Drosophila melanogaster: one gene and its partners. The protein of the gene in region 3 purifies or fractionates together with the protein of the main gene of each other region. This does not show direct contact. Each region holds a gene or a part of one and is shown on either strand. Other genes may lie near its edges. The genes, in order: Kaz, RanBPM and CG14995.

The links.
Region 1: the proteins of CG14995 (region 3) and Kaz purify together in Drosophila melanogaster (affinity purification with mass spectrometry, with the first as the bait; one large-scale study listed by BioGRID). This does not show direct contact.
Region 2: the proteins of CG14995 (region 3) and RanBPM purify together in Drosophila melanogaster (affinity purification with mass spectrometry, with the first as the bait; one large-scale study listed by BioGRID). This does not show direct contact.

Annotation. Positions count from the first base shown.
Region 1 is NT_033777.3:24,825,428-24,834,060, forward strand, and holds Kaz (katazuke), read right to left. Parts: upstream 4,533-8,633; 5' UTR 4,428-4,532; coding exon 3,243-4,427; 3' UTR 2,852-3,242; downstream 1-2,851. Other genes in the region: RabX4, read right to left, coding at 1,562-1,672, 1,731-1,844, 1,905-2,197, 2,409-2,532; CG43273 (uncharacterized protein), read left to right, coding at 5,012-5,425.
Region 2 is NT_033778.4:10,425,455-10,437,741, forward strand, and holds RanBPM (Ran-binding protein M), read left to right. Parts: upstream 1-4,257; 5' UTR 4,258-4,329; intron 4,330-4,550; exon of another isoform or gene 4,551-4,619; intron 4,620-5,079; 5' UTR 5,080-5,131; coding exon 5,132-6,461; intron 6,462-7,584; coding exon 7,585-7,749; intron 7,750-7,817; coding exon of another isoform or gene 7,818-7,820; coding exon 7,821-8,011; intron 8,012-8,087; coding exon 8,088-8,269; intron 8,270-8,332; coding exon 8,333-8,445; intron 8,446-8,506; coding exon 8,507-8,658; intron 8,659-8,716; coding exon 8,717-8,919; intron 8,920-8,972; coding exon 8,973-9,136; intron 9,137-9,182; coding exon of another isoform or gene 9,183-9,191; coding exon 9,192-9,331; intron 9,332-9,463; coding exon 9,464-9,575; intron 9,576-9,631; coding exon 9,632-9,768; coding exon of another isoform or gene 9,769-10,269; 3' UTR 10,270-11,127; downstream 11,128-12,287. Other genes in the region: CG12896 (uncharacterized protein), read right to left, coding at 1,515-1,643, 1,707-1,782, 1,846-2,220, 2,283-2,365; CG12895 (uncharacterized protein), read right to left, coding at 11,295-11,565, 11,628-11,809, 11,866-11,883. UniProt on the Drosophila melanogaster protein: May be involved in JAK/STAT signaling. Isoform D is required for the proper arrangement of niche cells and is autonomously required for proper niche cell size, isoform C negatively regulates the adhesive properties of the niche.
Region 3 is NT_037436.4:4,098,331-4,107,698, forward strand, and holds the start of CG14995 (uncharacterized protein), read right to left. Parts: upstream 4,631-9,368; 5' UTR 3,227-4,630; coding exon 3,147-3,226; intron 2,885-3,146; exon of another isoform or gene 2,851-2,884; coding exon of another isoform or gene 2,666-2,850; intron 2,516-2,665; coding exon 2,450-2,515; intron 1-2,449. Other genes in the region: Fit1 (fermitin 1), read left to right, coding at 5,930-8,056.

The DNA of each region.
Region 1 (8,633 bases), on a different chromosome or scaffold from region 3:
AATCGTATCCTGTCTATTGTATAATTACCCTTTGGCATGTTCCAGCCATAGTTGTGGTCACAATGGTTGCTAGGTAAAGTGGGTGACACGACGTCTGTTTGGGTGGACCCGTGCTCGCGTTATCAGTGGGCTCGCTAATTGGACAGCTCGGAACGAGGGGATACAATCAGAAGCAATTGGAGCGGAGAGAGGACGACCATATTTGCAGGGCCACGATTCCGAATAATCGATGTTAATTTCTGAGTTTCAAGTGGTTTGAGAAAATCAGAATGAAAAAATCGCTTAAGTAATTGTTCTATACATAATGCATACATAATGCTACATATATCCCTAAAATTCATTCCCCTAAATCAAAACACCACACGGTATGTGCTTTATTGTTGAGTTTTTTTTCATTTCGAGTTTTTTAGGATTTCGAGTTACTAGCAAAATTAGCGGCGTTCCAATCGTTGCTTTGCTTGTCCTTCATTATCATTATCCTGTTAGCCGTATTACCAAGGATGTCCACTACCCCAACCTAAATAATTAAGGGTACATTTTTTGACTAAATTCAAAGAAAACAAGAGAGAGAGGGATCACAACGATAGCATTCGTAAGAAACGATAGCATTCGTCGTGATCCCTGACTATCAGATACCCGTTACTCAGCTGGGCGGTTTGAAAAAAAAGTTCGATAGAAATTTTTTTTGTCTACGTCTCTGAAATCTGCGGGCCCAATCTTTCTAGCTTATATAGTTCCTGAGATCTTGAAGTTTATACGGGCAAAAAGACAAACGGACATAACCAGATTGACTCGTTTATTGATCAATAATATCAACATGGTCCGAATAGTTTCTTTCTGCCTATTATATACTTTTCAACGAATGTAGTACACCCTTTTAGTCTAGTAGTAACGGGTATGATTACGCAAAACACTTATTCGTACTGGCAAAAAAAAATTTTTCATGTACATACTGTATTCCCCATGTCTGGCCGATTGGCATAACAGTTGATATATATTTAACAGGAGGACGACTCCGAAGATGAGAACTTGAGCAACGACCATTCTGAGCGATAGAAAGAATCTAGTCATTGGTGCCTTGAAAAACAAGGTTTATATTGTATTTTATATGTAAATAAAAATGTTGATATAAATAAGTTGATAGAAACAAGAGGTCAATTAGGGAAGTCTCAAAGTGATAATATTATTTGGAAAAAACACAATTCCCCCATGGCACATAGACGTAATTTCATTTCTTACGAGTATAAATGTGTTTATATTTAGCATTACATTATAATTATTGGAATCGAGACAATATGCATGTATATTCGACTGTTATGTATTTGCTGGAATATGCTAAAATATTTATGCTATCTTCTCTTGGACTAAAAATGCACAAACTGAATGCTTCACTTCCATCAGGAATGCAATGCAGGCAGCCCAGTCCCTTAACTGGTTTGCATCTAAAAGGTGGCCCGTTCGCGAAGTTGGCCACAATGCTACAACGCTCAATAGCTTTGGACAACTTGCTCAGGTTCTGCGGTTTGCGGTTGCGGTCGCATCGTAATCCATCGCTGAGTATTTAGCAGGTGCAGCGATTCTCGCCGGAAAGGCTGCCCAGACTGAAGGTTCCTAGGCCATTGGAGCCGGGTGATTTCTTGTCTTTGCTCTCATCGTTATCAAAGTTGTCCCCCTGGGAGAAATGTGAAGGATTTACCTATTAAATATTGGGTTATTTTAAAGCATCTTACCCGCCGCTCCCTTTGCTCGCGGATTTTACGGGCCAGGGACAGGAAGGCATCTTCGATATTGATGTTGGACTTGCAAGACACTTCAAAGAAGGGCATATCGAAGTTTTCGGCAATCTGGAGAGAGCATAGGATGGTGTTATTGGTGTCGATGCTGCACTTCCTGCAGTCACTTACCTTTTCGCCCCTCTCCTTGTCCACCATGCGCTGGGTGGCGGAGCACTCGCATTTGTTGCCCGCCAGCACCTTTACCACGTCCGGCGAGGCGTTCTCCTGGATGTTGCGTAACCAGTAGGACAGGTTGTTGTAGCTCTCCAAGTTGGTCACGTCGTACATGAGTAGGATGCCCATGGCGCCCCGATAGTACGCCGTGGTCAATGTTCGGAATCTCTCCTGGCCAGCCGTGTCCCAGATTTGCAGCTTTATGGGTACTCCATCGAGGTTAATCAGCTTCTGCTTGAAGTCAATGCCTGGGAGATAAAATGTGATGCTAGTGGGTTACTGCACATAACAGCCGAGGTAGAAATAATAGTTTTCAAAACAAATGGAAAACGTTAGGATTTAAAAATTCAAAATCAATCAAAATCAAACAAGTGTCCGATTTCGAAAATAGTAAATAAAAAAATTTATTTTCAAATTTGAAAATAGTATTTTGGGGTCTCTACTCTACTCTCTACTCACCTATCGTAGAGATGTATGTGTCGTAGTACTTTTCATCGCAATATCTGTGAACGATGCAGGTCTTGCCCACATTGGAGTCGCCCAGCACCAGAACTTTATAGGTGGCCACAAAGTCCAGTGCCATGTTGACGGAGCTGGCGGAGTTTTCGTTAGGAATTATAATATCAACTGCGGAGGTTTTCGGTTACAGATGGGTTGACGTTGTTGTTATTGGTAGTTGGGTGGTGCAAGTGGTGGTGGTGGTTCGGTTTTGGCTACGAGGGGTAGTAGCGGGCTGCAGCTTGTGCTTGTTTATGTATCCGCTGGCCTGGCTTGTTTGTTGCTGCTCGCAGCTGTTCCAGATCGAGTTGCAGCGGCGTCACACGGATTTGTTGTAAATTTTCACAGTTTCCACAACAGAATCAGCTCGGAGCTCATGCTAATTGACAAGTAGCTTCTGGCATAAGTCGTACGATTTAACCTTTATTTCATTTGTATTTTAATGTAATATATAAGTGGTGTTAGTTGTGCATAGTGTGCCACTTCGGAGGCGGAGTCGAATTACGCCGTATGCGTGAATCAACCTCGAAGCACTGACTGCGAAACAAACCAGCCCGTGGATGCGGAGTGGAGTCAAATAATCAATAGACCTGCGCACGCGCAGCAGCAGCAGCATTCAGTTGCCGAATAATCGAAATCGGAATTCAAATCGAGGGTGTTCGCGGGTTCTCTAGCTTATCAATAGTAATAATATTAGACATACAATAGATATGAAGTTACATGTTCAAAAATAGAGTTGTTCATTGCTTAACTTAGTGCGGTTGGGTAGGAAGAGGGCGTCGAATCCAGTGCCGCTTACATCACAAAGACCTTTTCGACCTTGGGGTTGGAGAACTTCGTATTGGTCACCGGACAGGTGACGGTACCGTCGTCTTTGGTGATGTCCGGCAGAGCCATCTGACCAAAGATCTGTCCGTTGGGCAGCATCATCGGCTGATTGTGCTCGTTGAGCGGCAGCCCTGTGACCCGGCATATAAGACGGCTCTGCACACAGTGCGAGTATGGCAACTTGAGAGCGATGCGGTTGAGATCCTCCTGACACACCGGGCAGTTAAGGTTACGGCAGGTCTGAGCATAGCAGTGGGGCGTCTTCAGGGCCGACAGACCGGCCTGCACGGCTGCCGAGAAGACGGACGTGCTGGATAGCTGGAAGAGGCGGTAGTTCTCTTGACGGAAGTCCAACACCAACTTTTGCCACCGCTGCGGATCCATGTACTTGCGGTAGTGCTCGGCTTGGGCATCGGCCGGATAGGCCAGCAGGGCCATCACGTGGCAGATCTCATTCAGCTGAGTCTTCTCGTATGCGGGGAAGTAGCGACGCGAATGCTTCACAGCCTCAAAACGCTGATTTTGACGCACGAGCTCGATGAACTCTTGCACCCTCAGGCTGAATTCAATGGTCGAGTTGATCTTGCGGAGCTTAGACTTATTGTCTATGCACCAAAGCACGCATTTGGTGGTGCTGTGACTGGCCAAGTCATCCTCGACCTCGCGCGACGTCTGAAAAATGTCCAGGTTGGTCAGGTGGCGCACATCGGACTTGGCGGCCAGCTCCTCGGCCGTTTCATAGTATCCCATGCGCAGCAGGTGCTCGATGACCAGGCGGTCTAGTCGGATCCGCTTCCATTGGTCCACGGAACCCTGCCACAGGTCGCCTGTAACGCTGCTTGGCGGTGTAATGCCCTTTAGGTGGTCCAGCTTGCGCTTGCAGATCTGTGTGACGCTCAGCTCATCATTGATGCTCTCCTCGGCCTTGCGCTTGAGCACCTGCAATTTCTGCGCTACGTTATCCACCAGCTTGGTGACCTCGGCCAGAATGGGACCCTCCTCTGCTTCTAGGGCCTTTTCCACCTGACGCGATACATTGATCACCTGGTCCACCTCCCTGTCGATGATCTTCTGTGCCGAACGGAAGCGCTTGTTCAGCATCTCGTATGGCACTTTTAGGGTGGCGTGCTCCAACGCCTTGATCTCGGACATTTTTGCGTTTCGGTTGCGATGCAATTTGGTTTTATCCTCTTTTTAGAGACGCAATTGCGTTTTCTTTTCCTTCTTTGAATTGCTTTGTTTTGCTTCTGTGGGCTAAGAGTTGCCAGACTGTCAGCAGTCAGCTTAATGAGCAAAAGGTGCTGTTCAGTTAACTATTTTCTAACGCTAATTATATGATTACTAATAGATGTATATGAATATGATATATAAACAAAAGTGCGTATATTAAAATCTTATTGATGGTGTCCTTCTAGTGCCGGGATGCATAGCAACCGATTTCATAATGTTTTAGAAGTTCTATAATATTTAAATAAATTTAGCTATACTTCTGTGTGTTTTCCCGTTAAACTTCTAGGCAGCTCTAGCAAAGTGTACAGCGCTGTTGCCGCACTGTTAACTAATAACAGCTGATTGAAGCCCAGTAAACATAAACAAATGTTTTTCTAAACATTTTTCTAACGAATTAAAGATAATAAATATACATAATCTCCTTGGGATTACATAAAGACTAACTTGGCAAAGTAAGTAATTGAAACTATTACCTTACCTATATGGCAAATGAAAACTAATTTTAGATGGTTAAAGCAACTACCAGAGGTGCGACTTCCAAAGCAACGAAAGCTGGATCAAAGGGAGCAACGAAGGGAACCAAGGATAACTCCAAGCGATATCGTGACAAAATCAAAAAGGATCCGATTAAGTATCAGGAATACCGAGCCAGAGAAACCGAGCGAAGTAGGATTTATCGCAGCAAACTGAAGGAAGTGGTTAAAAAGAACAAAAAAGTTTTAAAAACAAAGCGAGAAACCGACCGACTTAGACAGCAAAGATATCGGGAGAAAAAGAAGGAGGAGCTCGCCAATCAACGATCATTGGAGGAAATGCTGAAGAAGCTGGAAAAGTCACTCCCAGCCAAGATGTCCCGAAAGATTGAAGTGATCAAGCTATTGTATAGCAAATACGTTGAGCCTGAAGTCAAGGAATCCTAAATTCCTTTGATTGTGGTAAATTCTGAAATCTGGAAGAGCTGTCTTTAGACAAATATAAATATCTACAAGATTAGGTTAAGTATACATTTTTTTAATTATTAAATGGTATTGCCACATATCTAAAGGGATTGTTTAATGTCCCAATGCAAAAAGTACTTTTTGAATAAATCTGAATAATAAAAAGTATTTTAAAGCAAATAATTTGTAAAGATACTATAGTTCAATTCACGAGGCAGTTACTTTTATGGTATGATATTAATAATTCATTTCGTTTCATTTCATGAAAAAGTGATCTGCAAAATTCTCACAACTCTTTATGGATGATTCATTTTGACCATACACTAGCCGGCTCACTCTAATTTCTTGCAATTAGCATTACGACTAGTTGGAGTTCGAGAGTTGACCTAATGTGCTCCGCCATGTAATTAATACGTCTGCTGGAGGGAAAAGTAATCACGAGTCCATGCAAAATTGCATAGAATTAACCTCCTTTTATGGTACATTGACTTTCGTTCACGTTCAAGTGGGCCCCGATAATTAGTCATAGATTAGGTGTAGCCGCCCAGGTGTACGTGCGAAAATTGAAAATCCATGAAAACCTGACCCATGTCCGCAGGCCAAATGCTGGGACTTTGGTAAGTAATTTTTCATTCCCGGGAACGGAAGTTACTCATTTCGGGTAAATTTGGGACACGTGCCGTGCAAAAACGCGAAAACAAACAAATAAACAAACATTTTGTTGGAACATATGTCCAGGATGTGAGGTGTAACTAGTTGGATTACAATAGTTCGACATGAAAGTGTTGGATTTTGTCAGCATTTGAAATTGAGAAAATTAACGTCCAAATACTTTGAAATATATGTTTATTACATTTGATTTAACTAACATATTTATTGTGAAGGATCTTTTTGGACTATACATTTCTACCTGGCTGCAGGAACCTTATCAAGATCATCCTAAGACTTCCCTTTCCCAAACGGAGCATAACCAATATTTAAAACCCATTGCATCCGTCCTTCACAAGCAGTGATTATTCCCAAAAGGTCAGGCGCTTACATCGAGATTTCCCTAATGACAAACAATTGAAAATTGCATGTCTGAGAAGTCCTGGGTTCCTGGGTTCTGAAAAATTGCATTTTAATAATACAACCGGCGGGAAGGCGATTAAATTCAGGCACTTCTTCAATTTGAATTCCAATTACAGAACGTCACTCAGGCCGACTGACTTATACACTACCTGATCCACTTGACAAGTTCACTGCTCCTGGGTGACACAAAAACTTATTAGAATAACTTAGTGAGCTGCATTTGCATTGCCATGGTTTTTGCAGGTGTCCAGTTGGTGTCGAGCAAGGACTCCATGCCCGTGGAGAACCCGCCTGGGGAAAGGGTGGGTCAGTTCGGATGGTGCTAGCTGCTAACCTAACCAATTGGAGCTCGGTGGTAAAGCCGAGAGAGAGCCGAGCCGTTTGGTGATGTCATGGATTGCGTGCAGCGGAGCCGTCATCAATGGTCCTTCTCTTCGGGACCTGCTACTTGGGCAATTTAGTTGTAGATGTTTTCGGCCCTTTTGGGCTACCATAAGAAATGGTCGTAACCCATAATCAGTGCGGCTTAATCGTGTTCCACCGCCGGGGCAGCCTACGGCACTCCATCCCAGAAGTGGAGGGCACCTCCTGCTCCTGCCCCTTTCCTTCGCTGCCGTTTCCTTCCTCACTGACCACATTGCTTCGCTGGCCTGCATTGATTTTTTTCGCGCAGAAGTAGGTACTCCATTCCGGCGTTTTTCGGGTTTTTATGGTCACCTCTAGAACTTTCACTTTTTGATGTGCGTAAATTTGCATATTTGTCGGACGCCAGGAAGGGTGTGTGCACTGACCACTCCACTTCATCTGACCCGATCCCTTTCCTCAGTTCTTTTGGGTGAGTAATGAATAGCGTCCGATGATGATGACGCCTTGGATAATGAGTTTTTGGCTTCGCCTTTAGATAGGTCACTGGAAACGTCATGTATTCATCGAAATTAAATGGGTAGACATTAAATTTACCAATTAATATTGTTGTGATCCTCCAATTGTATGGCCCTTTCGGTAGAGTTTCTGGTTAGGTTTCCCAGTTAATAGCCTCATAAAAGATATTTTACGATCCTTTAGTTCATATGCATTTAGAATGCTTTTGTCTGAAGCGGCGACCATTTTTGCAGTTATTGAATGAAATGCGGCTAAAAAATAATTGGATTGTGTTAGCGGTATGACTTTTTATTGTTTTTCTGATTGCCTTACGCTTATATAATTTTAACAATTTCTTATGTAGGCCAAACAGACCAACATTACTAGTTGAATATGGTATTAGAATGTATAAAATTCTATGACTTTAATGTAGATCGTGTACAACTGTTTACCATCCAAACGACACTAAATTCCTCGACATTTCTCAAAATGTTGCTATAATTATAATTCCTTTTGGGGATTAAGAACCTTATGACGTCCTAACCTGACCACGCATGAGTTATTAAAATAAGTTCGTGAGCACCAACATTTCGTAGGTATTTTTATGTTTTCACTAGCCTGGCGTCGCCTTTAGTCCTTTTAGCCAACATGACATGCGAATTGGCCAAGACGAAAGACCCCCAAAAGTGTCGCCCCATTGCTAAAATCAAGGTGTGCATTAACAAATGAACTTGAAATAATCGTTATACGACTGGCCACCCATATATTTAGCATGCATTTAGCTGCATTCAGCTAGCTGGCAATGTGGCAATGTGGCAATGTGTCGAGTGATAAATTGGGAAAGTCATGGAAAGGTTATTTGGTCAAGACTTGGCCAACAGACAAGGCTAAAACAAGTAACAGCGGCTATCGAAGAGCTCGCCTTGCGGCGCATGCAACATTCGGGGGCAGGAGCTGGCAGTCCTTTAAGGACTAAGCCATGTGGTGTGTGCATGTCCTGGAACGCACGAAAACAAACTTGCATGCAGTGAGTGAGGTAAGTGAGTGTGTGTGTGTAGCCGCAATTAGACGTGGCCATAATGTGGAATTAAGTCCCTTAAATTGGCATTTTTTCGAGGGCCTAATGCTCCGCACTCTGAGTTATAATCAGCAGTAATATGATGACCTCTGGGCATGAGTGTACAGCTCGATGAGATTTCGTGAGAAAATTATATATCGCTGGTAGAAATTCTACAGTCGCACTAATTAATCATCAGTT
Region 2 (12,287 bases), on a different chromosome or scaffold from region 3:
TATATTCTGAAACTATTAATTAAAGACTTTCTTATTTTAATAAATATTATTTTGTCAGCTTTGCTTTCACAAAATATTATTGTCGATTTACTCGACTATCCATTTTTCAGCTAGTTGGTGTGCTAGCAATATATTTCAAAATTGCAAACAAATTATAAAAGCAAGAAAGAACGCTATAATCTGATATCCGATTCCCAAATAGCCTTGCACAAAGGTCATGAATCTACAAATGTCACCGATGAGGAGTAAACTATGTATGTAAGTACCACAGAAAATTATAACATTTTATTTATCTTATCACCTTGTTATACTACTTCGTAAATAAATTATAATTACAAGTTTTTAGTGTACAATAAAGATTGTATTTAACAGAACAGAAGGCGTTATGTATTTTATATTATTTCAATTTTTACTGTGCACTTGCTTTGTGTAGTCTTATAGCCGGTTACTCATTGAAAAGTATATAATATAGGAAGCATTTCCTTATTTGAATCAATTGCAGTGTAGATTTGGCCATGTTTGTCCGTCCGGCCTACACACCTTTTAAAAATGATTTGATTTCTTTTCATTATTTTATTAGTCTTGTAAATTTCTATCGATTAGACCGAAAATAACTCATAGAAAAATCTATTTTTGTAAAAATTTAGGTTCCGCTGTCAGAAGTGCGATTCAGGATATTGTTTGTTATATTTCCAAATTGATCACTCGAATGAGACCCTTTTTTGCTCGTACCACAAAACACCAGGGTGGCAAAACTCTCGGATATTTTTTATTTATTTTATTTTAAAAAACACCCTGGTGCCTAGACATCCATATTTTAGCGGGTGCACTTAGAGTGCCAGTGGCTTGCACAAACCTGCCACGCCCACACTTATATACTTTTGAAAAATGTGTTGAAATTTAGTATATATTTATATTAGTCTTGTAAGTTTCTGTCGATTTGCAAAAAACTAATTGCCCAGCCCACTCTAACGCCCTAAAGCCACCAAACCGGTCACACCCACACTATTAAACAATTTTAAAATTTATTCTCATGTTATGCCCCAATATCGATATCTCAGAAAAATGATGAAATTTCGCGTTCGGTATCTGATAGTCGGGGTGTTCGACTATAGCATTATTTCAAGACTAAAAATGCATTGCATTATATTACCAGTAGAGCAATTTACATATGTAACAAGTAGAAAGAAGGAAGCGTTTTCTACCCTATATAGTATATATATTCTCGATCACGATTGCTAGACGAGTCGATTTGGCGGTTTATGTCTGTGCGAATGAACGCTGCTATGCGACTTTCTTTCGATATTGCGAGACAATTTTTTCATTTTATTATATTTTGTAAAAATATTCATTCGCAGTTTTGTAATATTTTGTGAAAGCGAAGCTGACAAAATAATTTTTATTAAAATAAGAAAGTTTTTAATTAATAGTTTCAGAATATAAAATTTTTATTTTGCAGTAATTAACTTTTTATGGCACAACAGGAAGAAAAATACATGCAGGTATGTAGGTCTTTAATAGTTCTCAGTGGTGCGAACGTAGTTTACTCCAGATGGCATGGATACTTTATCAAATCCCTTGGGGAAGAGTTTATGAGCCTCGTCATCGGTGACACTGGGCAGGATCATGACCTTAGTGCCAGGCTGTTTATGAAACAGAATTAATTAGTTCGGAACAGTTCGCATTAAGTGGGTAGAAAAACTTACGGTCCAGTTGGCGGGAGTGGCCACCACCTTGAGGCGATCAGTCAGCTGCAGGGAGTCAATGGTCCTCAGAATCTCGCTGTAAGATTACAGGATCGTCAGTTGAGATTAACAATAGTTGTAGCCAGAAAGAGGTACTTACTCAACGTTGCGACCAGTGGACATGGGGTAAAACATGGAGAGGCGCACCTTATGGTCCGGACTGATGATGAACAGGGCGCGGATGGTCTTACCCACCTCGGGATCCTTCTTCTGCTCCTCGTCGAGCATGCCCAGGGTGACGGCCAGGTCGCGAGTAGGGTCGGCGATGATCGGGTAGGGGAAGTCCCCGGGAATGTCCAGGCAATAGCTCTTGATGTCGTTCACCCAGTCCACGTGCGAGTTCAATGCGTCAACGGAATGCGCCAGGCACTTGGTGTTCCGCTTGGCAAACTCCGGCTGGTGCACCGCAATCCTGCCCAGCTCAGTGGTGCAGACGGGAGTGAAGTCGGCGGGGTGAGAGAAGAGCACCACCCAGCTGGCGATCCGAAGGAGAATTGGTAAGATTCGATCAGAGAAAAAGGGTTTGATGGCACTTACGAGTTGCCCTGCCACTCGTGGAATTTAATGGGCCCCTTGGTTGTGTCGGCCTCGAAGTTAGGTACGGTCTGTCCCAAACGCATCTTGCTGTTTGATTTTTAGTTTCACTTGGAAAAAAACTTGTTAGTTGCTCAGCTGGTAGCTGTTATTAGCTCGCACACTTGTTGCTTACTGAATACTGACTGGGAGAGCTCGCTGTCTTTTATACCCGACTGGATCAATTTGATGAAAGGGGACCGATAGAGACAGAGAACGGGAGCTGGCTTATCGTATCATATATGTACATATGTATGTTTGTATGTATAGTACGTGGTGCTGCGGGTAGACTAACAAACAACTCAGTGATAATTGGGGACATTGTGAGGGGAAAGATGAGGCCTCGTACGGGGTCTCCATATTTGTGTGAACCTCAAGAGGGGCCTTAAAAAAACCTGTTTGGGGCGTCACACAAAAATGGACTCTGTGACGAACACATTTTAGATGTAACGCAAAATGAAGTACAGTTTCGCATATTTCTTTTAATTTAAACTTGTTCGAATAAATCAATCAGTCCAGAACCAATTCCTTCAGGATCTAGTATCAAAACAGCTGATTTGATGCAGTTGACGGTTTTGCCGGCTCCAAACATAAACAGAGAGCGAGAGCGCATTTAAATGTTAAATGGTGTTGGTAAACAGAGGCGAAGCACCAACACCTGCAAACATACAGCCACGCCGATAGGCGGATATTGAGAGCGAGAGAGCGGCGAGCAACGTGATGGTATTTGTGAGTGCCTGCAAAAATCGCACACTTCCATAGATCGCACGGCTCTCCCGTTCACGTACAGAAAACGAGCCTCTAATTGAAAGTGAAGAGCGAGTGAAATCGTGAGACTGTGTGCGTGGGTCTATCGAAAATTAGCACACCAGCATAGGTTTTCTCTCAGTAAGTCACACATAAAGATGGAATGGATTTGGGAAGTCGGATGGGCAGATCGCTCATTCAGAAGGCAAAAGACAGTACGCATGAAAGCAGCCCAAATAGGAATCATATGGTTAAAATTCAATATCTAGTCATAATGGATACCAAAAATGCAACAATTGATAAGTTTAATTAGAAGAGTTCCCTCCCAGTAGCTCGATCGTGTTTCATAAGTTACAAGTACAGTTTTTGTGCTAGTGTATAAAGTCTAATCAAGAATCCAGCAACATTCGTCTCTACACCAGACGTGTGGTAATTTTCCACTGTTTATTATCAGTTACGTGATAGGATTTCTATTCGGAAAGGAAGTAACTAAAATACAGAGTGAAGGTTGAGGCGAAACGAACAAGAACGATTAGAAGAGTGAGATAGAAAGTGTCAAAGCATTTGAGAGAAGCCGTAGAGCGAACCGGTAAATTCTGCAGCATCGATAGTCTGTCAATCGAATCGAATCTTTTGAATTTATGGCGGTTTTTTTTACCAGTGCAGCGATCTCTTAATTACATTCTGGGCAGAGTACTAGAAATCACTAAAGTTTTTTGCGCTGATGCATTTTTAAATCTGGTTTCAATGTAAAACGCGTATGTTTGACATTCGTCATACTTTTATACCATAGGCAGAAGTTTCTAAGTAATAATTGCCCTTAATATTCTTATCGGTATGGCGTAAAGTATGCGCTAAAAATAGATAATATGATCTTTTTTTATAATTTAAACCAATATTTAAAAGATTAAATTAGCATTAAAAAACATAACGAATTACGTAAGGTTTAATTTTACCCAAAAAATAAGATTGCTAGCAATAGTGCAATAATACCCTCCAAAAGTATTGTCAAGGGTTTTACCTAAAAACATTTTAAGATTTTAATGGCACTTTGGGAAGTGTGTTACTGCTTATCAAATTTTGAATTTAGGCGCCTAAAGAGATTTATTCGATAAGAATAATCGATAGCTGCCGAGCGCACTCTGATGTTGTCAGGTGTCGGAATAGATATCGATATCATCGAATGAACATCGGCTTTTGTTCCAGCTCTATAGCATAAAGTCAAAACTTCGTAGATTTAACAACTCATAGCAATCGTTTGAAGGTAAATATAAGGAAATATCAACTGTAGATCCGATCAACAGCATAGAATGACAGCCAAATCGAATTCATCAGCTAAATAAAACCCCAACAAAGATCATTTGCCCCAGCTAAAAAAAAATGATAATTTTCTTCTCTGCGTGTGGGAGCTGCGAGTGTGTGTGCTTGCTGCATGCATATATGCGTGTGTGCGAGAGGGAGAGAGTGCTGCCAGTGTGTGAGCTGGTGCTTGTTTGTGTGTGTGTGGACAGTGACTCGTTGGTTAGAAGGGAAAACAAAGAAAACTTCAGAAAAGTACGACGTAAAAAGGCATTTACAAATGTAGAATAATCAAAACTGACTTGCTAGCAATGTTAAAAAGTGCAGAAAGCATTGGCTAATATCGTTTGGCTATTGATTTTTTGCATTTTCGTGCATGCAATTTTGTAGCTGTAGTTGTTGCTGTTGTATTTTTTTGTGCTGCAGCTGCGCGTCGCAACTGTAAACTGCTGTTGCTGTTGTTGTTTGTATTTTGGGTCAGTTAACGAAAGAGAGTGCACGAGTGATTGAGAGAGTGCGAATGAGGTGAACGGTGTAACGGACAAAGGACATTGCATTTTGGAAGTTGTTTGTGTTTGCTAGCCTCCTTACCCCTCCCTTCGTCACTCCTCACGTATACACACACAGCATCTGCATATGCACTTCATCCGCTCTCTCTTGCTCGCTCGTTGCTGGCTCACTCTCTCTAATTCCTCGCTGAACGTCTCTCTCTCAGCCTCCTTTTGCAACCACAACAAGATAAACAACAACGACAACTCAACCATAACATGGAGAACGTCGAAGAGGCCCCGCCACTCTCTTCGGAGAGCAACAGCAATAGCAACAACAGCAGCGCCAGCAGCAGCTCTCACCAGCTCTCTCAATCGGGAGCCATGGGTGCCGAAATAGCCCCCTCTACGTCTCGGTCACACTCTCATTCGCCCACACCCTCGCCGCCCGTCCCCGCGTCCTCTCACGACCAACCCCATCCCGATCACCCTAGTCCCCCATTGAATGCATCTGAAACGGAAGCTCGCGAGAATTCACCACATGATCACTCACCCACTCCTACTTTCCACCAGACTGCACCGCCACCCACGACTTCATCGACGGCACCGCAGCGGGACGAGCGGGAGCAGCAGCAGCAGCAAGAGGCGCCACCATTGCAGCAGGATCAGCAGGAGAATTCGCCCGCGCAGGACCAGGAGCTGCACCCATTGCTGGATCAACAGAATCAAGAATATCCCGCAGTGCACCAAGATCAACAAGCGGAGCAAAACCAGGAGCTGCATCACATAGAGGGGCTTATTCGGCACCGAGAATCACAGAATCCGGAAGAGCATCCACCACAAGCATCGCTGGAAAACCGGGAGACATTAGGACGAGAAGATACCAACCAAGAACCGGATGAGCCGCAAGTTCGAGATCCCGAAATCGAACCAGAAGCCGAGCCACCGCCACCGCTGCTTCTCGAAGATCTGGACGAGCAGGACTCCGGATCGCAGGATCTTAACGAACAGCAGCCGCCACTGATTATAGACGCAAACGCTATAGCCGAGACCATAGACGCCAACGCCGTGGAGCGCATCGACGACTACGAAGACGACGACGAGGAGGTGGATGAAGAGGAGGAGGTGGTAGAGGACCGGGTCGACAGAGCCGGCGAAGTCGCTTCCGTTTCCGGTGCCCAGCGCCTGCACTCGGTGGCCGTTTTGCCGCGCTACTCCTCAGCCTCACGAGCCCCAAGGAGCAGCAACAATAACAACAACAATATCAGCAATCACAACAACAATAATAACAACAGCAACAGTAACAGCCTCTCGCGACGCACTCGTCACTTCTACAGCAACAACGGCAGTCACTTCAGCAACGACATGTTCCCCAGCCACAATCCCCGCAGCAGCACCCAGACATCATCGCCGCGGGTCGGTGGTCGCCGCCATCACTCGACCCCCGCCGCCAGCTCCAATTCGCCACAGCACCAGGGCGTGGATCCCCTAAGGCTGCTCTATCCCAATGTCAACGAGAGCGAGACTCCGCTGCCCAGGTGCTGGAGTCCCCATGACAAGTGCTTGTCCATCGGTTTGTCGCAGAACAACTTGAGGGTCACCTACAAGGGTGAGTAGGATTCGAACTTCTCTATAAATCAACTCTCCATTTCATACCATCTAAAATAGAAAGTAGGCAACGATCAGGCAACTATAAGATACAGATTTCTTAGGAGCTGTCATAGTTCAATTCTAAATCGGTTTCATATTGCCACTAATACGCACATTTCAATTTCGCAATGAAATGTAATAATTAAATATGCACTTACATAGATATAGTTACATAGATATGGAATAAATTGTAATAAGTTTGTCTACGCTGTAGCCAAGTATGAGTATCCAGGTGGTATAAGTGCCAGAGTTCATGGAGTTTATCTTTATTACAACGATTTGACTTTGTTCTTACATTTTCAAATTTGTATTGATCTAAAGCTAAAGAGACAGTATACAATATTTTAGCCCTTAAATCAAAACACCCGAATATAAGGCTAGCCCCTACTAAATTATTACTTGCATAGTTATTAATTGCATTATCGAAATTATTATTTATTCGAAATCCCATCCACAAAATCTAATATTTGTCTTGAAGGATGTAACTCAATGCAGTAGAAAGAAGAAGAGTCGTAGTGCAGCTGCAGTTTTCACTCTCTTTCGCTCTATCTCGCTCTGGCACACACACGCACAGGGCACAGACAGGTGCTCTCAGCTGTGCACTGGTGGTTTTTGTTTTTCATAACCCACTTCTCCCACGCTCATTCGCGTGGCTGTTAAACCGCTAACAGCAACAGCTGGCTTACCAGTGCGACATAACATGTAAAATGCGCGTAAAATGTATAAGTTATTACGTAGATGGTGCGTTGCATAGATGTAAAATGTATATTTAGGTTACTTTAATTTCAGGTAAAATATATAACTCAATAATTCGAAATATTTCATTTAAATTGATAAAATGTCTCATTATTGTTTCGACGTAGACTTAGGCCAAAAATCAGTTTTTTTATTTAGAGTATCAATTTTATTATTTTTATTGTCCAGATAACCAACTCATTCATTTATGTTAAGAACATATCCCATGTACTAAGTTCGAGAGTAGGAAGTTCATACCGAATGGATAAAAGAATATTGTCTTACTGCAATGCTATAGCATATAAAAATTGAGATCTGTCAAATACTGAAACCTCATGACTTTTTAGGTGTGGGCAAGCAGCACAGTGATGCCGCCTCAGTGCGCACTGCCTATCCGATCCCGTCCTCCTGCGGACTGTACTACTTCGAGGTGCGGATAATCTCCAAGGGACGCAACGGCTACATGGGCATTGGCCTAACTGCCCAGCAGTTCCGTATGAACCGCCTGCCAGGTTTGTGTTCCATTGTGCTGCTCGGCGAGATGTGCCCATGATTCCTAATAACCGCACCCCCCCTCAAGTAGGTTGGGACAAACAGTCGTACGGGTACCACGGCGACGATGGCAACTCGTTTAGCTCCTCGGGAAATGGCCAAACCTACGGCCCCACTTTTACCACCGGCGATGTGATTGGATGCTGCGTCAACTTTGTGAACAACACGTGCTTCTACACCAAGAACGGAGTGGATCTGGGCATCGCATTTAGGGATTTGCCGGTGCGTATTCAATGGAATTTTAAAACTACTTTATCTTCTAACTTTATGTTTGTTAATCTTTTTTTTTTTTGTTTAGACTAAGCTTTATCCCACTGTGGGCCTACAGACGCCTGGCGAGGAAGTGGATGCCAACTTTGGTCAGGAACCATTCAAGTTCGACAAGATCGTCGATATGATGAAGGAGATGCGCTCCAATGTGCTCCGCAAGATCGATCGATATCCACATCTGCTGGAGACCCCAGAAAACCTGATGAATCGGTGCGTTTTTGTTAAATGTGTTTAAAAATCATGGCTTAACCCAATGACTTCTAAATTGCTTAGCCTGGTTTCCACTTATTTGGTGCATAATGCGTTCAGCAAAACCGCCGAGGCCTTCAATGGCTACACAAATCAGACTTTCAACGAGGACTTGGCATCGATCAAGACACGTCAAAGTTCGTATATTTGCCATTTGAAATGACAACACACATGCCAACTTTAAATCCACTCTTCCAGAGATCATTAAGCTTATACTGACTGGCAAAATGAGCCAGGCCATCGAACATACACTACGTTCTTTCCCCGGACTCCTGGAAAATAATAAAAACCTCTGGTTCGCATTGAAGTGCCGCCAGTTCATTGAGATGATCAATGGAGCTGACATTGAGGTGGGTTTTTAAACATTACATGCGGAAGATAAGTAGAACCGGATGGTTTGTCTTACAGAACGTGAACAACAAAGTCACCGCCACCACACAGACCATGCCCACAAACCAGACGTCAGTGATACAGTCCACCAAGACGTTCAAGCACAGCAAGAGCGGCAGTGGAAATGGCAACGTCAACATAAATCAGACTCAACAACAGAACAACACTGCGATTCCAGCTGTGATAAAGCCACAAGGCGGCGATAGGCCAGATATAAAAAAGTAAGTCAAATGTAATACTTACTCCGATCTTTAATCACAACGTACTGTTCAAGCATGTTGGTTGACGACAACTCCAACAAGTGCGTGGAGCACGACAGCAACAGCATGGACGTAGAAATGGAGCCCTGCCAGAGTCACTCCAACGGCGGCGACTCGAGCTCCAATGGCAATGCCAGCGCAGTGCGCAACTCTCTAGATGCCATCGACGAGGAAATGGGTATGTATCTATTGGCGGCATTTCCGGGAAGATCCGTAATCCCTAGCACTTGCAGATGTAGATGTTTCCCCCTCATCGCGTAACTGTGGTCGTGTGATCGAGAAGATCCTTGAGTTCGGCAAGGAACTGTCCAGCATGGGCCAGCAGCTGGAGAAGGAGAACCTAATGACTGAAGAGGAGCGTCAAATGTTGGAGGTAAACTATAAAAATGTATAAACAATAGAAACTGGTATCTTGCAGACTAAGCACTCTTTGTATTTGAAAAATAACTTCAATAAGAATATGATTATCCGTAATCGAGAGATATTCAATTTATGGTTGTTACAGGATGCATTTAGTCTGATTGCCTACTCTAATCCTTGGTCCAGTCCGCTGGGCTGGTTGCTGTGTCCCTCGCGACGTGAGAGTGTTTCCACCACACTCAACTCGGCCATATTGGGTAAGTCTTTAAACACTTGTCTCGAAACGAAGTTACTAATTACTATGATTATGCAGAGTCCCTGAACTTCGAGCGTCGTCCGCCGCTGGAATACCTGGTGGCTCACGCCTCGGAGCTGATCAAGGTGATCGGACAGCACTCGCTGGGCGAGGACGCTTTCATTACCATCGACGATGTGTTCCCGCAAAATTGACCCAGTTCCCCGACGCTGCTGAAGATGTTCGAGACCACGCTGACCCTGCCGCGAACCAGTGTGCTTACGGAACCGTTGGGCAGCGCCGGAACCGGATCTGGGCCCTCCACATCAACGGCTGCCGTGGCAGTTCAGACCAGCAAACGACGCCGAAGGCGGCGTAACAAACGTCGCCGCAAATCCTCCCTGTCCAGCAATACCGATGCCCCGTCGTCGCGGACCTACGATCCCGTGATGACGGGCAGTACGCTCCGGTCGGCAGCTGTGGCATCGGTGGGCGGGGGCACGGGCACGGGACCAGTGCGTCGGGGTCGTCGCAGGAGCGGGGTCAGCTCATCTTCATCGGCGGCAGCGGCTGCAGCAGCGGCAGCGGAGGAGGAGGCGGAAGAAGCGGAAGCGGAGGCGGCTCGCCAGGAGGAGGAGGAAGCGGAAATCTTGAGCGGAAACAGCAGCCCATCGATGTTCGTCGATCCGCAGGACTTCTTCGAGACACTGGACTAAATTTAGATTATTTACAATTTGCAGTAGGTTAAATTTTGTTGTTACTTCCGTTCTCTTTCTTTTTTACCTGCGCAACCGGCTTCAGTGCGCCTATTTAAAACTAATCGCCGTTCTTTTAATTGTTCGATTATGCTAAAGATGCTATGCGTTTGGCGGCCTTTGATTTGGCGTGATTTTTAATAACTTTTAACATATATTTTATATAGCCTCTCTAAGCATAAAGTGTGTAATATTATGATGTATAATTAAATTTGCGAAATGTGCTGCGACACGACCCTTGAAATTGAATTAGCCCTTTGTTTTTCGCTTCCACCGCCCGAAACACAACAATCACACACCAAAATATAATCTAGAATTGATAGTGAAGGGACTAGCCTGGAGCAAAAGCTGTTCAATCATCTCCTTAGCATGTTAATATAGAACCGAATCCATAGTTAACTGGTAGACATTCGCGTTTTAATTCTCCGTGTTTTCAGCGATTTTCGATGGACTCCGCGCCATCCCGTGTCTTGTGGCAAGACTAAGCAAAAGCAAATGAACATTTTAAGTGTAATGTTTCGCTATAGTGTTTAAGCGTATTAAAATTTAATCTATATATACAAGATTGGTCATACACACATTCGGCAAACATGAATAGAATTTAACTGGATAATCGTTTAAATATATTGTATGGATGTGTATTTCAGGAAAGCGAGAACTGTGTTTTAAAGGGGGTTCAAATTGGATTAAATATATGCCATTCTGACAATGTGTTCAGTTTTATATATTAAAATTGTATCTTTTCAAATGTCATGATTTGTTGATTAAGCTGAAGTTTTCAACAAATAAAAATAAAAATGAAAGCACATTCAAATTACCAAATCACTTGCAACCGTATTATTTATTATTCCGTATAAATGATCGTTTTTAAATACCAGGTAAAATGCAAGTTCAAGTCATTGGTCTTTTAAGGATCAGGAGTAGAATAACACATTCATTTAATACATTGTTTTGTATGCTTATATATATAATATAGTTTATAATGTTCACAAATCCGGCTGCCTTATCCTTTGCACTTTTTCATGATTTTTGACGTGCTCCTTTAGCAGACGCATTATTTCGGTATCGAATTGAGGAGGTGTTGGCTTGGTATCGGTGGCCCAGTAGAATATATCCCAGTCGTTGCTGACACCATTGATCAACTGATCGTACTCGGCGGTCTGCTCGGCATTGAAGTCCTTCAAATGCTTGGCCACAAAAGTGCTCAGCAAGAGATCGTTTTCCAGCATTCCGCGTTTCCTGCTTTGATACAAAAGGCTGCACAAGATAATGAATGATCATAAGTAGGAGTTTGGGATATTTTCATTTTAAGCGTATACCGCTGCTTGCGAGTTTCCAGCGGCTCATCGGGACGGACAGGATATTCCGGAACTGGCAAATGCGGCGGATCATCGTAGTCCACAATTTCCCCGGGTGTTGTGTACTCAGTTTTGTCCAAATTGCTGGCGAGGCGACTTTGGGCCATCATAGGTAGTTGCAGGCGACGGCCTACCGTAGATACCTGTGTCCAATTAAGCAATCAATTATATTTTACTACATTTGGGGCCATAAACTTACTATAAATTGCCGCAACATTTTAGGAAACGACCAAAACAATGATATAACGACAGTGTTGGCTAAGAAAGTTAAGTATAATCGATAGATTCCTGCTATAATAATCGGCTGTTGCTATAAATAGTGCTGGAAAGTGCACACTTTGTTGAATTAATCATTTATTTTATTTAACCGTTCAAACCTCAGGCGAATTTAAATTAAAATAGTTGTTTTATTTTAAATATGAATATATTTGGGAGAATATGCACTGCAATTGTTATGAAAGGTATGCGAATTTTTAATAATTATTTGCAATAATATAAATAAAAAATATATCTCTATTTGTATCACTTAAAGCTCAAATATTGTATTCATGAGATCCTTTTGAGTGGCCTGCTATTTAAAATCCAGATAAGTTTCAAAACATAATAAAAAAATAAATGTCT
Region 3 (9,368 bases):
ATTAACTCGTCGGATTCTTCGCAGAATACCCCACCAATAACAGTTAAAGAATCTCGGCAGGGGGAAAAGCTGATTGTCATCATTTGTCTTCGTCTAGGTCAGGTTTAAACCTCCCTCCCCATGTTCCGGGCGATACCCGCTTAGCACCTGAACTCCCAACAATGCTAATTACCCTCTGAAGTGGCCAATTGCCGATGGCCAAAAGCGTGCCATGATTTTGTTGCCCACCCAACTGATTGAATAGGTAAAGAAAATATATTTTTCTACACTGAGCGAATTGTATTTCCAAATTATCATAGATATGTAGAGAGAATCTCTCAATTCAATGAATTTCTATATACTTTCTATATACTCTTCTCCCTGTGTGGACACCTAAAACATCTTTTCCTATTTCGCAGTGTGGGAAATGGCAGAACCAACTGTCTAAACTTAGCCAGGAAGATCGCTAAATGGCACACGAGTGCATTGCCTTAGTGAATGTCTGGTATCTGGAATTCGTGGCACTATAAATAGTTCGCCAAATAAATCAGGCCAATCGGGAGTAGGACCAGAAGCAGGAGTGCCACTGCTTAAGTATGCATAATATCAATGTTTCCTCTGAAGAGTCAAGGTTATCTAGCACTTGAGGCCTACCACCGAATGTGGAAATAATATGGGAGGTAAAAAGAAAAGTGCTTGCAGCACGCAAGTCAAATCAATATGCACACTCATGCAACGCAGGGAAATGGGTAGGAAAATGGTAATGAGCAAAATGGGCGAGTATACTGCCAAGAAATGGAGACTACGCCAACGCATTTTACCTGAAGTATGGTAAACCAATCTGATTTATGGCTCATTCATTGCGAACACTACTCCACGCCTAGCACAACAAATGCTCCACAAAGCAGGGAACCCCACGTAAAACACTACTATCCATCGGTTTGAGACTGAAAGGTTTTCCTTGTATATTGTTTAACCACGTAAAGTAATGCAAACAGAGCAGACTTCTATAAGAAGTTATTGCCCTCGGGCTTACACGCTTGCCATGTCAATTTGTTATCAATTTATTCATTCACGTTTGTATATAGGAAACGCGTACCATTATCTATAGACTGATATATGTAGCTCTACGACAGTTGAGTAGTTCTCGATTGCGGTAATAGCTTCCTGATAATAGAAGTGCCTACAGAGCTATCAAGTTAATTCAGTTTCAAGAAGCAACCCAAAAGCTCTATTTTTTTGGCGAATTTAGGGCACAAAAATGTACTCAAGATAAGCTTCTATTATTTTAAGAACATATTGTTTACATATTTAGCAATGCAGTAGCAAGAAAAAATATTTTTTCAAATATCTAACAGACTTACATATATTTTTATATGACTCATTGAGAAATAAAGATACGAAAACAACTTGCCAAAAAAGGAGCACTTTTGCTTTTGATCAAGATCGGTGTCAATTCATGTTCAAGGTTATTTTATTTATACTTTACTTCACCCCATGAATATATATGATATCCATATTTGCTTAATGTTGGTTTTTTCTTATTCTGATAACTACTACACCTCCTTTGGGATTTCCTGTTTCTAATGAAATAAATATATAAGATCTAATTTCTGTTTAAGGTGCGATATCTACAACTTCAATACCATAATTATAGCTTCCTGTTCACTGGGTCGACATATTATTCGCTTCATCTGAAATAGCTGATTCGCCCATACCTAAATTATTATTTCCTGTTATTCTCACGGTTCTTTTCCCCTAAGTTCAATGCCAAATCTCCCTATAAGGCCACGAACTCTTGTATATATGCACCTCCATCTATATCTGTTTTATGCATAATTAAACGAATCGCAAGAGTCGAGAGTTTTCAGCACATTGCCAACAGATGACAGAAGTTTTTGGGGGGGTGAAATGGATTTCGGCGACCTTGGCAGTCAAAATGATTGTCGCCTTTTATGGCAAAAGTGGCGAAATCAGCAAAAGCAGCAGCAGCAGCAGCAGCACATGCAAACTTATCGAGCGACATGCAAGTACAACAAGTATCCAGCAGTACCAGATGAGGTACAAGGCACAGCGAGATACAAAAGTATCTAGCAGATACGAGTCATAACTATAGTATCTGCCCACTACGCAGTGTGGCCTACGCGACTTGGAAAAGTACGCGGCCAGTTGCTATTGCCAATTTGGGAGCTCCCACGACTTTTAGCTTATTTTCTGTAGTTTTCTGCGTCCCCAGCTTTTTGCATTAATTACGCGCTTGAGCGTGCCAAAGTATCTTTCGTATTTGAGCTTGCCTAATGATGGGGCGATGACATCACTGGAAAGCAAATATCTCGCTAGCTTTTTAATATATATATCTCTACCGCATTCTCTCGGCGGCGAGCCGCACACTTTGTATCAATCAAAAGGCACCGAGTCAGGAAATCAAAATGATCCTTATAGAAGAAATATTTCACGACTTGTGACTTACCTAAGAGCCAGAACTTCCACTCCACGCATTCGCTTGATGATGGACACATCGCTGAGATCACTGCCCCTGAAATAAGCACAGAATAGATGGCATTTTAATAAAGATAAATAATGTACAGTGGAGCCCTCTTAGCAGGCAACACGCTTATCGCAGATGGGTCAAGAGTTGGGGGCCCATCACGGAAAGTAGTTCAACTGCTTTTCACGCTTTTCCAACCGTTTTTCTCGAGGGGCGCGTGTTTTTCCAGTCCAGGAAATCGTGACTCGCTCCAAAGTGGACACTTCTAAACTGGTTAGAAGATTGCCCCTGGAATTGGGTCGAGTGAAAGCAGCCGGAGCGACCGAAGTGAGCAGCAAAGTGGGCAGATCCCCCAAACCCCAGACACCAGATCGCAGACCCATTCAACACAGATCGAAGCTTTCACTATAGTGGCTGCACCTGCCCCAGCACGATTAGCAATAGATCAATGCACAGGCGAAAATTAGATCGAAAATCGATGAAATTAACAGTGGGTTGAGTCTGAACAATAATAAACAATTAGTCGTCCTAACTTTGCTAAAGCATGATTAATATGCCGCTGACTAAAAATTTACAAACAATCTAGTTATTGCACTAATGCAAGCATTCCTTTCGTTATTCAGTATGATATGATGATATATTCTATAAATATTTCTAGTTATTTGGGCTGTCTACTTACCAGCAATTTAGCTTTTTGATCAGGGACAAATCGGATTGCTTGGCCCGCGCTATCACCATTTCCTCGGTGAGTCTCGACATTGTGTGTACTTGTGGCTGTGATGGTGATGGTGATGATGATGGCGATGCTGTTGCTCCAACTGGTGTTCAACTGACCCGTGGCCACAGGTGTGCCACTTGCAGATTCCGGCTATATAATGATTGTGTATTCACAGCCGATGGTTAAACGCGTATTTACTATAAGCCGCTTGTGAATGCCCAATTTTAGATGCCGAGAGGTGAGCAACAATGCAGTACAGTGAAATAGCTACAACAGGTTATGCCTTGTTGTGGTAAATAATTTCGTTTTTGCTTTTGCTGCTATTATTGTTGTAATCACTGGCGTGTCGTAGGCGTTGCTTTGTTGTTGCTGCAATTTGTTGTAATTACGTATGTCTTCCAGTCTTCAAGTTGCTCTGAGTTCGGGTTTATCAACCGCTTAATGTTGGTGTATTTGCTGTAGTGTGGCTCCTTTCCACAGCTACAATATTCGTTAATTGCCAAAAACGTTAGGATTTATCGTTAAGGGACCGAACAAAATGAAAATTTCTTGTGCTTTTCGGTTTTTTTCAACTGACTAAAATTTCGATGCTAGACTGCTGTTTTGCTATTGTATCTGATGTTTTGTATCTCGAATCTCCTGCATGGATGAATAAGCCGCTCGGGTTGTTGCGCCGCGCTTTTTTTTATTATTGTTACGAGTATGTATATGAACGTAACACACCGCTTAACTACACTATGTATATGTGTGTAACTCAATTGTTGCTTTCATTCTGTGGTACGGGAGTTTGTCAAATTTTTACATTGCTGCATCGATTTTTTCGTGCCGAGATGTTTTTGTCCGAGAACTTGTGGGTGTGTGTCTTATTTCGAATTTCTTAACGATATGACTATTTGAAAAACCCTGGGCCGGCACTTTCAATTCGAAACTGACAGTAGTACGCGCAGCTAACTTGATTAAACGAAATTCCGACTTTTTCAGTTCCGATTTTCCTATTTTCCATGCACCGTTTTTCGTATCTCGCTCTCTTACAGGTATGTGTGTATGGGCACGCGAAAGTGTATGGGTGGGTGCCAGAGCGAGAAAGCAGAGACGCGCGTGTTTTACACAATACTGCACTATTATACACTATTAGTTGTTTTTTCGAATACGTGCGCTCGGCTCAACGGCGAAAAACAATCTGGGGGCTTTGAGGCCTCTTTAGCCGTTCAACTGGAGCTTTCATTGTCTTTGTTTACGAATGCGGTGTGGAGAAAAAGAGCGGAAAGAGCGAAACAGCGAGAGAGGAGGAGAAAAACCAGTATTGTTTTTATATATGCATGTACTTTTGCTTTATAACAAATTAGTTAACTGGAACATGCGTTAATTTAAATTGATATTCATAATAGCAGATTTGCTTTCTACTAAAATTATTAAAACAACAGAACTATATTTTTCGTTACGATAACTTAGAGATGACCATTGGGCCGGTGTGACCCCCATTTCTGGAAAAAAATAAATATCGATACACTTTTCATATTTGTACCCTCATTTTAAAATATGTGCTTACTGTTAACATGTGGTTACGTTAATAATGTTTCGGCCTTTGATATTTTTGCTTAGTATTAATATGACAGTTCCTTTCTCGTCCTGGGCCACAGGTACGTATGGAATAAGCCAATTCGAAGAAATAAATGAGGAACAATAGTGCCAATCTCCACGACTTCATTGTTCTTTGCCTGTCCGATATTATGATACAATACAATTGATACAATACAATAGATTGCCATACACAAATTCGTTTCAAGTCGAATACGAATTATATTAAATCATGCGAATCTAATGTATTAGGTATGCCCTATCCACGGTTCAATTGTGAAAGTAGAATTTATAAGAATGTATGGTGGTTAATATCTCTTGCAGTAAGTTTAATAACAAAAAACTAAGCACGAGAATTAACGGTAAATGGTATTGCTTAATTTTCGATGTAATTTTTAACAAAATTTAAACTATACTTCTTACCATCCGTTCCGATAAGTTCGATTTCGCTGGCGCGAACCATCGATATGCGCAGACAAACGGTCATACTGCTCTGCTGCTGGTTTATTTATAAATTAATTTCTCTCTATCTCGGCTCGTTCGCTTTGTCTCGTCGCCCGCGACGTGTTGTTTTGTGAAAATTTGCATCGCATTTTTGAGCGCGTGCATTAGTGTTCGTCGGTGTGTTGATGTGCGAGGAAAAGAGCGAGGAAAACGCTGCGAATTGCGATTGCTAGAGAGATCGGGAAAACAAAACATCCCAAGCAGCAGCAAGCAAGCCATCAAAATCGTAACCTTGGGCGTGTGTTAATCAAGTGATCCGTACATCCCCGCCTCTCCCCCCCTTTTATCATCATACATACCACCACCATCTCTACATCCAACGATTTTGATCTGGATTACTCGGCTTGTTGGATTGTTGGGTCTGTTTCGCTGGCGTTTCTGTTTCCGTGCAAACATCTGGCGAGATAAGGGCCTATATAGTTTCGCCACCGCCACAGTCGCAGTCCCCCCCTCTCCGCTCCCCGCCAGCCAACGACAACGACAAGAACAACAAAAACTTGGTTGCAAAAACGGTGCTGAACGTAAGTTGAATTACGTCATCGTTTCGAGGGCAAATTTAGACTCTGATTGTGCCATATATATACACTATACAAATATACCCGCAGTTATAGTTTCGCCTTTGGACAGAAGAGACGCCCGCGCATCGGAACTTTTAGCGAAAGATGATTCATGTGGGCGAAAATACGTGGAACCTGCGGATCCTCATCACGGATCTGCAGGTGGAGAAGACGCTGCGCGTGAAGGGTGACCAGCACATTGGCGGCGTAATGCTGAACCTGGTGGATCCGGAGTTGCCCAAGGATTGGTCCGATCACGCCCTGTGGTGGCCCGCCAAGAATATCTGGCTGACCAGGACGCGGTCCACTTTGGACCAGGCCGGAGTTCAATCGGATTCCTTTCTGCACTTCACGCCCATGCACAAGACACTGAGGGTGCAGATGCCCGATCTTCGTTATCTGGACTACCGCGTCAACTTTTCGGCCAAAACTTTCGGAGCCGTTGTGAGCTTGTGCAAGGACCTGGACATTCGCTATCCGGAGGAACTGTCTTTCTGCAAGCCCCTGGAACCGGAGCATCTGAAGAAGAACTTCTCCAAGCTGCCGCAGCGAAAGATTCCGGTGGCGGAGGCAAATGGAATCGCATACGTGCAGCCAGCGCTGGACACCAACTCCTTTGTCCCGATCACAGGAGCCTATAACGGTAGCAATGGCAGCCTGGATCGCTCGCACAATGGCAATCTGCTGTGCGCTCCGGCTTCACCGTATACCCGACGGGCAGCCACTGCTCCGGGAACACCCATCAGCTCGCCCACGGGCACCTGGAAGCACAACTCCACTGGCTATGCTAGCTACGATTCCAACTCTAGTTTCGGAGACCTCCAGGAGAATCTGGCCATGTCGCCAAGGTCGCCCAGTCCGGATGTACGAGCACGCTTGGTTCGACCCAAGTCCCGGGTGGAGAAAGCCCGTCTCAACGTGGGATGGTTGGACTCGTCCCTTTCCATCATGGAGCAGGGAGTTAGGGAGTATGACACTCTGTGCCTGCGCTTCAAATACTTCACGTTCTTCGATCTGAACCCCAAGTACGACCAAGTGAGGATCAATCAACTGTACGAGCAAGCCAAATGGAGCATTTTGAACGAGGAATTGGAACCCACCGAGGAGGAGACCCTCATGTTTGCCGCCCTGCAGTTCCAGGTGAATCATCAGACGGATCTGCATCCCCCAGGCATCGATTCCGGAATAGATACCTCCAGTCAGGAGACTGGCGGCGAGGACGACATTGACTCCGCTCTCAACGAGCTGCAGATCACACTCGAAGGACCAGGAGGTGGCAAGGATCAGGGCAACATCACCAGGATACCAGAGCTGTCGGACTATTTGAAATTCCTCAAGCCTCAAAGGTTCACCCTTAAAGGATACAAGCGCTACTTCTTCACCTACAGGGATCTGCATCTGCACCTTTACAAATCGCAGGATGAGTCCAGGCGGGGAGCTCCCACCATCAGCATCAATTTGAAGGGCTGCGAGGTGACGCCCGATGTTAACCTGGCCCAAGGAAAGTTCGCCATCCGTCTGGAAGTTCCGTCAGAGATCAGAAATGGTCCGAACAGTGAGGTCTGGGTGAGATGCGACAACGAAGAGCAGTACGCCAAGTGGATGGCAGCCTGTCGTCTGGCCGCCAAGGGTCGCTCTCTAGCCGATAGCTCTTACGACAGCGAAGTTAGCAGTATTCGCTCGCTGCTGCAGATGCAGAAACCCGCCCAGGGAGCTCCGCTCACCGTCAACCCGCGAAGTGTTGAGCCCATGGATTACCTATCGCCCAAAATGATGCGCAAACTATCCAGCAAGGCGGTGCAGAGGATCCTAGAGGCCCATGCCAACGTTCGCCAGCTGAGCTTAATGGACGCCAAGATGAAGTACATCCAGGCTTGGCAATCTCTACCAGACTTCGGTGTTACTCTCTTCATCATCAAGTTCGATGGACACAAGAAGGAGGAGCTGTTGGGCGTGGCCAACAATCGTATCATGCGCATGGACCTCAACACCGGCGATCACATAAAGACCTGGCGCTACAACACAATGAAGGCCTGGAATGTTAACTGGGGCATCAAGTGCATGATGATTCAGCTGCAGGACGAGAACATCGTCTTCTCCGTGCAGTCGGCCGACTGTAAGGTGGTGCACGAGTTCATCGGCGGCTACATATTCATGTCCATGCGATCCAAGGAGAACAACCAGACGCTGAACGAGGAGATGTTCCACAAGCTGACGGGCGGCTGGTCGTAAACGGATTGGCGCAGTCTGGAGCATTGGACTGGAGTCTTGAGTGCCAAGCACAAACCTCGTCGCATGTTCTACAGTTTTATCTACATATATTTACCTAATGTAGGGTGCGTTGATTTATGGGTTGACTGGTAATCTGTGGACCACACCAAGCAACTTCTTCGTAACTCTAGTTGTTAGTTTCTCAATGTTTTTTTTCTGTTCGGTTTATCAACCTAAATACGTATATATTTTGTAAACAACTTTGACGGACTAGTGTCCGACACCAGAAGTTGGTTTTCTTTTGTCGGCATTTACCTAAAAAAAAAAATAATTAACTTTATAAGTATAAGTCTCTTAAATTTGTGTTGTCCAAGTTGTCCAAGAAGTTGTCCAACGATTACCTACATTTTTAATCAACCCAGTCAGTCAACCCACCCAAATCGAAAGCGTTCGTGTATAAGTGTTAATGGAAATGGAATTCTAGACTAATAACAATCACCACGCTGATAACGATTATGATAACGATGTTGTGCCTTCGCCAGAGCAATCTTAACCCAAAACAAGTCCAAGTCAATGTCCTGTGTTCTCTGTGTTGTCTGTTTCTAACACAGCGTTAAAGTTACACTACTTAAGTCCATTTTTTACCACACTTGTGCGGACTTGCGCGACTAACCCGCAGTTTTATATATTGTATATTTATTAAACAAATTAATAAGCAGAATAAATTATTTTATATGTTTTTAATGACCGTAAATGGTGGCTGGCTTGTTTGTTTTTACATATGCATTCCACTGGCAGTTGGTAACCCGAGTCCACTGGGATTACTCATCCAACTTTTATTGACGCGCTGTGTGCTTCTGAGGGGCGTTGATGCAACAGTCAACGCGTTTAATATAAAGCACGGGTATTGTTATTAATAACAGCGCACTCAATTGGATTGATAAGCGCACCACGGCGTTGTACAGTGGGTATATATGGGGATTCGAGATTATAGGCGTGCCGTGCTACGCCATTGATTGATGGCCGCGACCCAAAGCTACGTATGTGCCTCGGAATGGGGCAACTTCTCACGCAATGGCTGGCGAAATCTTCAATTTGATTTAATTTAACGGGGTGACTCTTAATAAGGAAAATGCCAGATATGAATAGCGCATGACAAATAAATACCACTTCCAAGTATTATCTATAATCAAAAAAAAAAAAAAATGCATTTTAATATTTGCTACAGTCGTAAGTACTTACATTACTAATGTAAGCTGACTTTAGTAAAAAAAAACTATGATTAATGCAATCAGCGCCCACATAAAACCGAATTCTTATAATTCAACATTTG